Linked DNA regions of Tribolium castaneum. The protein of the gene in region 2 purifies or fractionates together with the protein of the main gene of each other region. This does not show direct contact. Links are inferred from orthologs where the notes say so. Each region holds a gene or a part of one and is shown on either strand. Other genes may lie near its edges. The genes, in order: Mms19, PolE1 and Ciao1.

Region 1 (4,338 bases), on a different chromosome or scaffold from region 2:
GTGGTGTGGTCAAGACACGAAATAATTAATTTCGAAATCTACAAAATTAAATTAATTGGTTAAATTCAATTTGAAATTATTACTTTTCTAAATTGGACTAAAACGGCCGGTTTTGGTGCGAACTCTAGTAAATATCCAAGGCCTGATAAATACGAATTCTTGTCTGGACTGTAATTCGCACTTAATTTATTCGTAACTATCGTAAAAAACTTCTGCTGGTACAAAAATCTACAAGTTATTTAATTAAAATTATTTAAGTGCTAAATTATCAACTTACGCAACATTGCAATGACTTTTGGTACTTAAAGACTCCGAATTGGACATAATTGTGCGAAAACACGGAGCTATACTTTCATCTTTATCCAAATAATCGATTAACTAAGGCGGAAAATTAATTAATTAACGACTGAGCTAACGCAATTAATTGCCTACTTTTGTGGTCCAGAATGTGCCTAATTCGTGATTACGCATAATTAAGGCCTTGGTGAGCCATGACGTAAGAATGGGGTCGGTTTTAGTGTCAACCCGTTCCAAAAATTCCCTAATTACATCATCTACAATTAATTGTAATAATTAATTAAAACACGGAATTAAATTACCATTGGGACATTTGTTCAAAATATTTGCAACCAGTTCTATAGCTGCGTTACGTCTCAAATTATCCCTCTCCCTAATTATAAATTCAATTAATTCGCTTAAAATTTCGTAATTAATTACAACATCGCGCCTTAAACAAGTCAAGATCCCGCTTAGTAAAAAAATATCCTCAATCTTAATTCGACTTAATTCGTTTCGAATCATTTCATTTTGTTTTTCGCTCGACATTCGACCAATCACAATTTTCAAAACAAATGCAATCGTTTCGTGACACGTATCACCAGTCAAAGCCATCTCGATCAACACATGGGTGATATTTTGTGCGTTTAAAACGTCAAAAATCGCGTCACAATCGTCAAATTTGATTAAAACTTTTTGTAATGTTTTTATTGCACAATTTTTCAAAATTAAATCGATTAAATGGGCCGTGAAAAATTTTTGATTTGCCAAAGTCACACACAAGGCGTCTAGAAAACATGGAGTATAGTTTTCTGTATTACCGACCACGTGCGTAGCCACTTCGTTCGGGTAATCCCGTGCTAAAGCTTCAAGACATTGTAAGACAGCGCCTTCTTGTGGCACTTGTAACAACTTGACGTAGTTTTGGTAAAGTAAAAGTCGGATTTTTTCGGGTAGTTTCGGCGAAATGTCACGTAAACAATCAAAAGCGATTGGTGAGTCAGATTTTACAAGTAAAACCGGTACTTCCCCGAGATTTTCTAAATCGCTGGCAAGTGCATACAAGTCGGTTAGTAGGCGCAAAAATGGTGTTTTTTCAGCCGTTGTGTTGGCTATATTATACATGTTTGTTAATATGGGGACGGTTTCACGCGCTACGAGGTTGGCAACGCTGTCCGATGCGTTGGCAACACTGATTATCAAACGTGCCGACGGTTGGAATAATTTTGAGTCGGGTAAAAAATTTCCTTTGATTGTATCGCAGATATCTTTGACCGTTTCTGTCAAATTTGGGTCACGTGTGTGCTTAATAACAGCTGTCATTGTTGTTAAACAGGCTTTTTCAATTGCTGGATTTGTCGTTTGGAACAGTTCTTTTTGTATGAGTGGCCATACTGTGGTTGGTGAAATATCAAAAGTAACAAATGATAGTTCCTACAAGTTTGGTGTTTAGTCTGCGGTCCGCTACAAAAAAAACCACTTACAATAAGTCGTAACGAATCCAATTTAGCAATTTCAAGCGAAGAATCGAATTTTTCTAACGCTAATTGAAGGGAGAATTCGGCAAATTGTGGAACGGCAACGAGGCAAAAGGCGAGCTTTTCAGCGAGGGTATTTCGAGTTATGCCCTGTAAAAAATTATTATTGATTGTCGTTTAATGGGGACAAAGTGGGCACGTTTTCGTCCTGTGGCGGAGCCCTAAAATCAACAGGGAAATAACACGCCAGGATTTCGAAAGCGTCCTCAGCCAGGTGCCCCAATTTGACTTTTCGTAAAAATTTCGGAAACCAATCAAAGAGAAAAATCAGGTTTTTGGGGCTGCGTTCGCCATCAACCGCCGAAATAACACCGTAGACAAAGTCGGGCCCCATTTCATCCAATTCTGGAAAAAAGACTGATATTGAATTTTAAAAGGGGGCCCAAACCTGGCCAAAATTTCTCCAAACAAGTCTCGAAAATTTGATAAATTGCTAATCTGTCGTTTTCTTGTTGTTGTTGGCACGAGACATTGTGGAAGAGTTGGACGAGAAAAGGGCCAGGGCCCCCTTTCGGGGCCCCCTCGCACCGAATTAAGGCGAGAAAACCGCGCAAAACGGCCGGTAACACCTAAAATCGCCCTCAGTTAAAAAACAGTAGCCCCTGGACTGACATACAAAATGATTGTCCTTAAGCCGGTCCGTGTAAAACTGATTTAAAAATTTTAATTGATTTTCGTCCAAAACATCGGGGGGCAAAGTCTCGACGACACGTGTCAACACCCACATGCCCAGCTCGCGCCCCTTGGGGCTCGTATCGATAAGGAGCCCCCCTAGGTCCTCGACAAGGCGTAACAAGGTCACTTGACCCGATTCAAGTGCTGAAAGTTGAGGTTATGTCACAATGTGGGGCCACTTGTACGTACCTTGGGCCAATTCGTGGCATTTTTCGGCAAATTCTTGGTCATCTATTGTAACATTTTCGAAATTTTTGGCCAAATTCGAAGCCATCATAACCAAACTTTTTGACAGATGATAATTGACCACGCATGCCCCAAATAACCTACTATAACCTTCATTTTCAAATTTCAAAAAATTACGCATTTAATTGCAGATTAAATTAATGACGCATTTAATTGCAGATTAAGTTAATGACGCTTCTGTAAACCGACCCTTAAACTTCCGTATAGCGCGGGTTTTATTTTTAATTTTTAAATAAAACACAGGACCGTACTTAGATTTTTATTGACTCAGTATTGCTCGCCCATAAGTAATACAACCAGGGCCGTCCAGCCCGTAAAAGGCCTACAGCCACTCCCCTCCCCCGTTTCGTCATTATACTGTTCCCACAGATAACCCGTTTTGAAATATTGCGTCATCACGTTTTTAATCACATTTTCCCGCAAATCTTTATAAATCGCGTTGGCTTTATCCCGATAGGGCCCCTCCGTATTGGCGTAGAAATACAAGGACCGGACTGCTAGAAAATTGATATTTATCCAAATTTGGCCCCTCCAATATGGCGGATCATGTTCGGTGTTGCGTTTCATATACAGGGGTGAATTTTTGGACAGTGATCTTAGACCAAACTTCGTCCATAACAAGTCAGGATTTCGAAGGTCATCCAAAATCTGGCCCAATTTCAACGAATCCGAATCAATCATTTGTAACAAAAACGGAAACAAACTGACGTAACCGAAAGTCGAGTCGACCAATCGGTATTCGGGATTTTTCAAGGTCACACGCACCATCTCCATGTTTTGGTTTTGTGACCTTGGTAACGGTTTCGGTCGTTTTAATTTAACAGAATCAGTGTGGTAACCATAATCGGCGTAACGCGATGCGTAATTAGACCAATGTAAATTATCCAATAGGAAATTGTCTTTCAAATAATCGGCAGTTTGTTCGTATTTATACCCATCACGGTCCAACAGTGTTGCCAACCTTGCTAAAGTATCACTAGCTATGGCGATCCAACAGTATAGATCGACGTGGTATTCGGCTTCGGTCGGATGTGACGCTCGTGGATAATCGTCAAGGCCCGAAGTTAAAGTTTTCGGATTCAGCTCACGATTGGTTGTTGCGTCACGCCCCCTCCACCGGTACATGCCAGGCCCCGCCCCTTTTTGCGTGGTATTAAACCATGCAAACCACGCCTGTAACCTTGGATACAACCGTTCCAGTGTTGCCAAACGTCCCTCGCTCAACTTATCGTAATATTTACGCAAAATGTATTGCAACGTGAGGAAGAAAGTCGGCGGATTTGCGTTAGTATTTCGTTGGACGATAAATTCTTCGGGTATTTTCGCTATAGCTTCAACACCCAGGATTTGTTCACGGGGGATCCACCCTTCAACGTTCATCAAATCGAACCAATGACTGATAATGTCAAGTTCAAGGTCAAGGTCCCACGTTGCGATCAGAAAGCCATGGAAACCTTCGTCCCATAGAAAACCACGAGGGAAAAAACTTCGAGACGGGACTGCTGTGTATAAGGGGGCGTGCCAATAGTGCACCGGTTCTTTGGTGTAGAAACTTTGCACTTTGGAAGTGCCGTAAAAATAGCCGATGCCTCCCAGCATGTTA
Region 2 (3,653 bases):
TTAGGGATATTTAGTTTTCGAGAGTTTCTCCATAATGCGAGGAATCGGAAATAAAATTAACTAGACGCCCTCTGGTGATGACTTTTGAACTATGCCGAAAACAGTAAAGAAATTTTAGTAATGCCACATTTAACTGACATTTAATGAATTGTTCAACAATTTTGCGTGTATAGTGTTAATTACTTACAATAGAAAGAATTACTTTAAAAGTACGTGGTGGTAAATCCTAACGTTGACTTTGGTTCTGTAGTTTTTCGTGGTATAAAGTGTTTATTGTTGGAACTTGAAAGTGGATAAAATAATTTAAATTTTGATTACAAAGTGTTATCAAACAGTTGTCTAATTAAAGATTATAAGTAATGGATCACAGCGAACACAAAGTTTGGCTCAAGAAACCAATAAATTAGTGAAGTGTTATGAATTTTAGGTTAGAATTTTCCACTGAAAAAATCATGAAATGCTGCGGTAAATCTACAAAACTACAATAAAGATTAACAACTGCTGATATATTTAAACGTAAATTATGCCAAAAGGTAGGCTTTTCAATGTCTTTGTAATAATTTTTCAATAAAGAAAGTGAACCAAACAGTCATTCGTTATTCGTGTTTTCCTCGTCATCTCTCATTTATCAACATAAGTTTCTTGCATCAAAGATGCAATAATCATTCCGCATAGGCAATGTAATAATTGTGAAGCCCCAAAATTCGTACAACGCTCAAAATATCCGAATAAACATTTTCCCGCCATTTATGGTTACTGTTTTCGACCTAGCTCAGTGGCGCCCCCAACGGTAATTTTACTTCCGAAATACACGTACCGTTACCAACTGACACAAAATTCCCTAGACGGGAACAGTATTTTTTTAATTAAAATAAAAAAATCGGACTGACGAAACAGCAACAAAAACCTCTTACTTGACCTTTTTCCTCTTCGTTGCCCTCCTCTCTGAGGTCCTCCGGCAACTTCCCCTGAACCCCCGCATAATTGGCCGGATCCAGCCACACCAAAGTCTCCCAACACTGCCTAAACGAAATGTCCAACGAATGAAACAGCTCCTTATTCCTAATCGACGTGACCACAAACTCAACATTCTCCATCGCGTCCTCCACACTCTTCTTCTTCGAACAGATGACAATCTTGTTAAAATTCGCGTAAATAATCGTACACCCCAGCCGCTTAAACTCGGCCACGAGCTGCAAGAACAACTTCTTCATCAAATTCTGCAACGTCCGCAACAAAGCCGGATCGTAAAGCAGGGCTTTAGGCGCCCGCAACCACCGATAGAAATGAACGACTTGAAAATCGGCGAAAATGTTCTGATAGAGCGAAATATCCCGCATCCAAATACTGGCCATCGTGCGCAAAATCTTAAACGCTTCGGCACACCGCGCCGTTTCGTCGTAAACCGTCGGGTTATCTCCGACTAAATCGTCCAATGAGGTGGCCCCAACTCCATCAAACGCCGTAGCGCTGCTAGTGCCCTCGATGTCAGTCACGTGGTGCGACTGCAGGAGCGTATTAATCGCCAAGCAATCAACGTCCAACTCGATGCAAACGCTCGAGTACCACCCTGGTACATTGCACACCTCGCTCGAACCCTCCTGGTTCTCGGCCAACAATCGCGAGTCGTTTTCTTCAACGCCGCCCAAGTCGGGCTTGTCGGTTGGCGAACACCACAACACGTGGTTGTGTTTGGTTAAGTGTCGGGCGTAGAAGAGATCAGAACCGAAGAGGGCCGGGTCCGGGGGCATGTTACCGACCGGGAGGTGGAAGTACCGACTTTGCTCGATCATCAAGTCGAGCACTTTTTCGCTGTTGAGATAGTGGCGGACGAGGGCACGGCCGCCAATTTTCTGCCAGTCCATCACGTTGTACAGCTCCTCCTCGTCGGTGATGTGGATTTGCACTTGGGGGAAGTCCGAAAATAGGGGGATGCGCGAACGCAGTGTTGCCGGTTCAAGGGCCGATTGGACGGCAAGGAGGGTTGGACCTTTCTTTTCGTCCTTGTAGAACTGCAGGGCTTTTTGCAGGGTTTTGTAGACCTGGCCAAGGTCGCTCTCGACGCGGATTTCGAACGTGACGCTGGCGGGCGGGAGCGAGTCGTCCTCGGTGCCCTTTTCCTTCCTATGAATCATTATTTAATATCAAAGTGCGGTCAGTGGCATGTGAAGTTTATTTTATTTAATAAAATTTTTTATGTATTTAATTTTGTTTATTTTTTATTTAATAAAAATACACTATCGGACAAAAGTAAGGCAACATGTTGAAAAATATACAAATATTGGTATTTTAAATTTTAAGAGTTGGTATTTACCTTCAATTTAATTTTATAATAAACGTTTAAAGATATTCTTATTCGTGTTGAAAATGGATAGCCTATGGGTAATTATTATGACATACTACTAGCTTGAAATATAAAAAAGCCCGATATTAATGCGACAAAAGTAAGGCAACATTGTCAGAAAATATTTTCAACTCAAATTTTATTTGATTCAACATTTACATAACACTACCCAACACTAAAGTTTAAATAAATAGAACGAAAAATTCAATAATTTATGGCATAGCCGTTATTAAGTAAAATTTTTTGGCACCGTCTGGGCATTGAAGAAATTAATTTTTGAATAACATTTTCATCCAGATTTGACCACACTTCCTTGATTTTATCTATCAAAGAACTTTCCTCCAATCTTGCTTTGTCTAATTCAAATGTTTTCTTGCAAATTGAAGTCTGGCGCGTCTATTTCTTTCTGAAATCAAAGGTTTTTTAGCACGACGTCTACTAAAAAGCTTTGCTGCAACCAGTCTTCTTTGAATTGTTCGTGTACTAACTCCTACTTCCGGTATTTCCGCTATAATTTTAGATGCAGATTTCCATGGATCGTTTTCCGAAATTCTTTTAATGCGTCTGTCCATGTTTATAGTGGTTTTTCGTGGTCGTCCCGATTTTGGATTATTGTTTAAATGTCCTCTTTCGTTGTAGCGAATAATTATTTTAGACACGCTGTATCTAGGCAGTTGAAATCTTCTTGCAATATCCGCTTGTTTTTCATTGTTTAAGAAAGCATCGATCACTCTTTCTTTCAACTCTTTACCAATTGGTGTACCCGTTGGCATGGCTCTTGTTGCGCAAGACGAACTGTTAATATTGGCCTAACAAATTTTTCATTATAACAACATTTTTTGAAAAAAATCTAAATGTTGCCTTACTTTTGTCGTCTTAAAATAATCCTTTTTTACACTACAAGTCAACAAAGCGGTTTTTTTCAACCTTAATAAATAATTACTTGACATTAATGACAGTAGCTTCCTTTGATTCTTTTAACAATACCATAGTTTGCCCGATCATAATTTATTTACATTAGATAGACATTAATTTCTATATTTTTCAAAATGTTGCCTTACTTTTGTCCGATAGTGTATTAAATAAAAATAAAAATGTGAAGATTGTTTTTTTTTGTTTTAACCCTAGAAATTTTTAGTAAATCTAGTTTAAAGTTTCAATGAGAGAACTAATCATTAATGACTATTTTGCGTTTTTATCAATCTTTATAGTTTATATTTTTATAGTTTTGAAAGAGCTGATAAGCCACTTTGTAAATCCAGTACTCACTTTGCCATTCGTTCGGCTTGGTACAACTTGTTCAAATTCG
Region 3 (3,481 bases), on a different chromosome or scaffold from region 2:
CCCCCTTCGACACAATCCCAGCTCGTATGGGGCGAGTAAACCGCAATTTCATGTCTAATACATTGGATTACGATTCGTTCTTTCCAAGTCCTGTGACAAAACGATTAGTTTTGATTGGCTGTGTAATTTGGGGCGTACTTGTCAGAGACTGTTTTAAGGCCTTGAAAGATATTAGGGTGATAGGAGATAATGAGCCCCGCTTGGAAGTTTTTAGCTTCATTGACCACATCCTCAGTGAGGTCGTTTGTTAATAGAATTGTTTTGACCTGTTTGTCGGTCATTGGGTCCACCAGGAGCCCCACATTGTCCCAGCTCTCGGCAAGGGTCAAGGGGGCGTAGGATTGTAAAGTTTTGACGATTTCTTTGACCGACATTTGGGGGCCCGTGCTGTAGTAATTTTTAATCCGACTTAGGGCCGCCAACCGTCTTATTAACATCTGTGGAACGAAAAAGTAATCTCAATGGATGGGCGACAGTAGGCTGTGACGTTCAATTGTAAACAATTGACATAAACAGCCGCCTATCCATCAAAGAAAAACAAAGGAACGTCAAACAATTTTATTCAGGGATAAATTTCCACAATTTAATTTCCCCGTCGTCGCTGCACGACACTAAAATATCACTAAGAAGGGGGTTCCAGGCGACGCAGTTGACATCCTGGGCGTGCGCCCTCTCAATGCAGGTGACTTGGCTAAACGTGGGGGCCTCTAAGTCGCCCCCTTCCTCCTCTTTAAAAATTCTGATAGCGTCGTCACCGCAAGCGGTGGCGATCAAGTCACTTGAGTGGTTCCAAGACACGTCATAGATGGTTCTGTTGTGGTACCCCGACATGGTACACACACATTTCCACGTTTCCTCCGTATTTTGGCCCTTTTGCCAGATTTTCAACGTGGCGTCGTCGCTACACGACACAATCCTTGTCCCCGTTTTGTCCCAACTTATGCTCCAAACCGTTGACTCGTGCCCCTGTAAGGTGGCAAAACAAACCCAGTCGTTGTCTGACTGGTCCTCTTTGAACAACTTAACCGTGTTGTCGTAGGAGGCCGAGGCGAGGATATCGTCATGTGGGTGCCACACGACCTGCAACAACCTCCATAACAACAAAAATCGCCCCCTTGCTACCTACTTTCTTCACATCCTGTGTGTGCGCACTCAACACGGCCGCGCAATCATACTCATCCTCCTCGGCAATCTCCCAAATCCAAACCGACTTGTCACGGCTACAAGTGGCCAAAAATCGCCCCGACTTCGACCAGGAAACACTCTTAACCTCATTTTCGTGCCCCTCAAGAGTGGCATTGCACTCGAACTCGCCCGATTTCTTGTCCCAAATGCACGTAGTGGTGTCAAAGGAGGCCGAGGCGAGGTAATTGCCACAGGGGGACCACGCAATTTCCCGAATTGTGCGTTTGTGGCCATCGGTTAGAATTACTTTATTCGACCACTTCGAGTCCGAGTCTTTCGACCAGATTCGGATGGTCTTGTCTTCGCCACACGAGGCGAACGTTTGCCCCTTCGGGTGCCAACTCACGTCCCAAACGCGCCCCGTGTGCTTGCATAAAGTTTGAAGGGGCTCAAGCTTTGACATTTTGGGGTTAGGGTCGCGAACAACGACAGGGTGGTTAAAAAGTGGTCTCGGGGGACGCACGACGTGCCAAAAGGGGGCAAATGTACTTAAGGGGCTTACCAATGCCACAAAACGTGAAAAAATGGGTGATTTTATTACGTTTTTGCTTCGTTGAGTTGGCCGCACTGTCATTCAATGCAGCCAACGCATGATTATTATTGCGTTTTTTTGCAATTATTTACCAATAAAATTGCGTACTTAAGTGCAAAATCAATTATGTTTCTTCTAAATTAATTGTTCGCTTAATTTTGAATTTTTTTTTCGTGGTTGAATGTGCGATTTTTGTTTTTTTTTGCCGTCGGTGTGGCCAGCCTCATTTGACGTTTACATTTTTTGTGCCGTGAATCACAATCAACTTTGTTTATCAAAACAATCGGTTTTGTGGGTGTTTTGGGGCCTCTTGGCACTGTTGGGTTGATCGGACTCGCCCCCGCCCCCACAACCCATCATTACGATGAACCATGTTACAGTTTTGGAGGAAATCAAAAGGTGCGTAATTTCGTAATTGATGTTTGGGTTTTCCTAATTAGTGTTTCCAAAGCCGGCAATGACACGAAATGCGCAGCCCCAGCGGTGACGCCGCGGCCCCGGCCCCCGAAGCCGCCCCCTCTGGACCTCGATATCGGTGAGTACGAAATTGTAGAAATTGGGGTTATTGTGTCTTAAAGATGAGTTTGAGGCAACGAGGTCACGGCTATGTCGGACCTTGGACGAGGTTTTGGGCGATAAGGGGGCTCTGGGCTACTTTACCCAGTTTATGGAGGCGCGAAACGCCGCCAAATTTATCAATTGTTGGGGGGACATTGAGTCGTTTAAGTGTGAGATAAGTACGGATTGCGACTCCAGTGACACCCAAAATTCGAGTGATTCGTGTGAATCTAGTCTAGTTGAGGGCGCTGTTGCGATTTTTAAAAAGTACATAGCTCAGGAGTCCGCTCACAATGTTAAATGCCCCGAGTCAGTTCGTAACGAACTCGTTGAAAACATTTGTGACTTGGAGAAAATCGCCAGTTGTTTGGACCCCGTTCAGAGTTTCGTTACCGAAGTCATGGAGAAGGAGTATTTTGAGGCGTTTTTAGCCAGCGATTATTTCTGCAAATACCAGATCGATGTTTTGACGAGTGGCCAAGTGGCCCTTGACGATATTCTCTACAACGAAACGGCGCTTTTCTACTTTATGGAGTTTCTCGAACAGGAGAATTCGTGCAATTTGTTGGAGTTCTGGATCGCTGCCACCAACTTGCAGCAACATTTGACCAATCAAAAGGAGTTTTTTGACCCAATTGAGGCCCAAAATGACGCTGTTGTGCTCTACGATAAGTATTTTTCGCTGCAAGCCCATTGTCCGTTGGGTTTCGGCGATAAAGTTCGCTTCGAAATCGAACAAAATATTTGCGGGGAGAACGGACTTGTCTTGGATTGTTTCAAGTTGCCCTTGAAAATCGTCGAACAAGTGTTGGAGAAAAACTATCTCAAACCGTTTTTGGAGTCACAGTTATTTTGCAAATATCTGTCCGAGTTGATAAACACCGTTCAGTCTAACGATTATTTTAATCTCGAGAATAATCGGACGCTTTCGTCCGATTGCAGCAGCGAGAAGAGTTTCAGTACAAATAGCGCATTTCTAGCGTTAGAGTTAAACTTTAATAATAATAATTGTAAAAAGAAGGATAAAAACGCAGATATGAGTATCGACACGAGGCAGTTGTGCGACCCCGATTCGCTCTGGAAGAGGAGACGAACGCACAGATTATCCTGTGGGAGGATCACAGCTTTGGGTAAATTTGAAACTGATTTGGAGCCAGAACCTGATCGGAAAAGTTTCAAGTTTAAAAATGTTGTCAAGAAGTTTGT

The links.
Region 1: the proteins of PolE1 (region 2) and Mms19 purify together in Homo sapiens (affinity purification with western blotting; 3 studies listed by BioGRID and IntAct, with this or other methods). This does not show direct contact. The link is inferred for Tribolium castaneum from reciprocal best matches to the Homo sapiens genes POLE and MMS19.
Region 3: the proteins of PolE1 (region 2) and Ciao1 purify together in Homo sapiens (affinity purification with western blotting; 3 studies listed by BioGRID, with this or other methods). This does not show direct contact. The link is inferred for Tribolium castaneum from reciprocal best matches to the Homo sapiens genes POLE and CIAO1.

What each region holds. Positions count from the first base shown.
Region 1 is NC_087400.1:4,137,434-4,141,771, forward strand, and holds the start of Mms19 (MMS19 nucleotide excision repair protein homolog), read right to left. Parts: upstream 2,836-4,338; 5' UTR 2,767-2,835; coding exon 2,679-2,766; intron 2,634-2,678; coding exon 2,431-2,633; intron 2,384-2,430; coding exon 2,203-2,383; intron 2,160-2,202; coding exon 1,954-2,159; intron 1,905-1,953; coding exon 1,761-1,904; intron 1,711-1,760; coding exon 600-1,710; intron 555-599; coding exon 433-554; intron 379-432; coding exon 278-378; intron 229-277; coding exon 84-228; intron 39-83; coding exon 1-38. Other genes in the region: GCS1 (mannosyl-oligosaccharide glucosidase), read right to left, coding at 3,003-4,338. UniProt on the Homo sapiens protein: Key component of the cytosolic iron-sulfur protein assembly (CIA) complex, a multiprotein complex that mediates the incorporation of iron-sulfur cluster into apoproteins specifically involved in DNA metabolism and genomic integrity.
Region 2 is NC_087396.1:21,696,053-21,699,705, forward strand, and holds part of PolE1 (DNA polymerase epsilon catalytic subunit 1), read right to left. Parts: coding exon 3,614-3,653; intron 2,125-3,613; coding exon 915-2,124; intron 1-914. UniProt on the Homo sapiens protein: Catalytic component of the DNA polymerase epsilon complex. Participates in chromosomal DNA replication.
Region 3 is NC_087395.1:25,661,402-25,664,882, forward strand, and holds Ciao1 (probable cytosolic iron-sulfur protein assembly protein Ciao1), read right to left. Parts: upstream 1,906-3,481; 5' UTR 1,760-1,905; coding exon 1,127-1,759; intron 1,081-1,126; coding exon 559-1,080; 3' UTR 545-558; downstream 1-544. Other genes in the region: pkaap (A-kinase anchor protein 10, mitochondrial), read left to right, coding at 2,089-2,116, 2,169-2,252, 2,296-3,481. UniProt on the Homo sapiens protein: Key component of the cytosolic iron-sulfur protein assembly (CIA) complex, a multiprotein complex that mediates the incorporation of iron-sulfur cluster into extramitochondrial Fe/S proteins.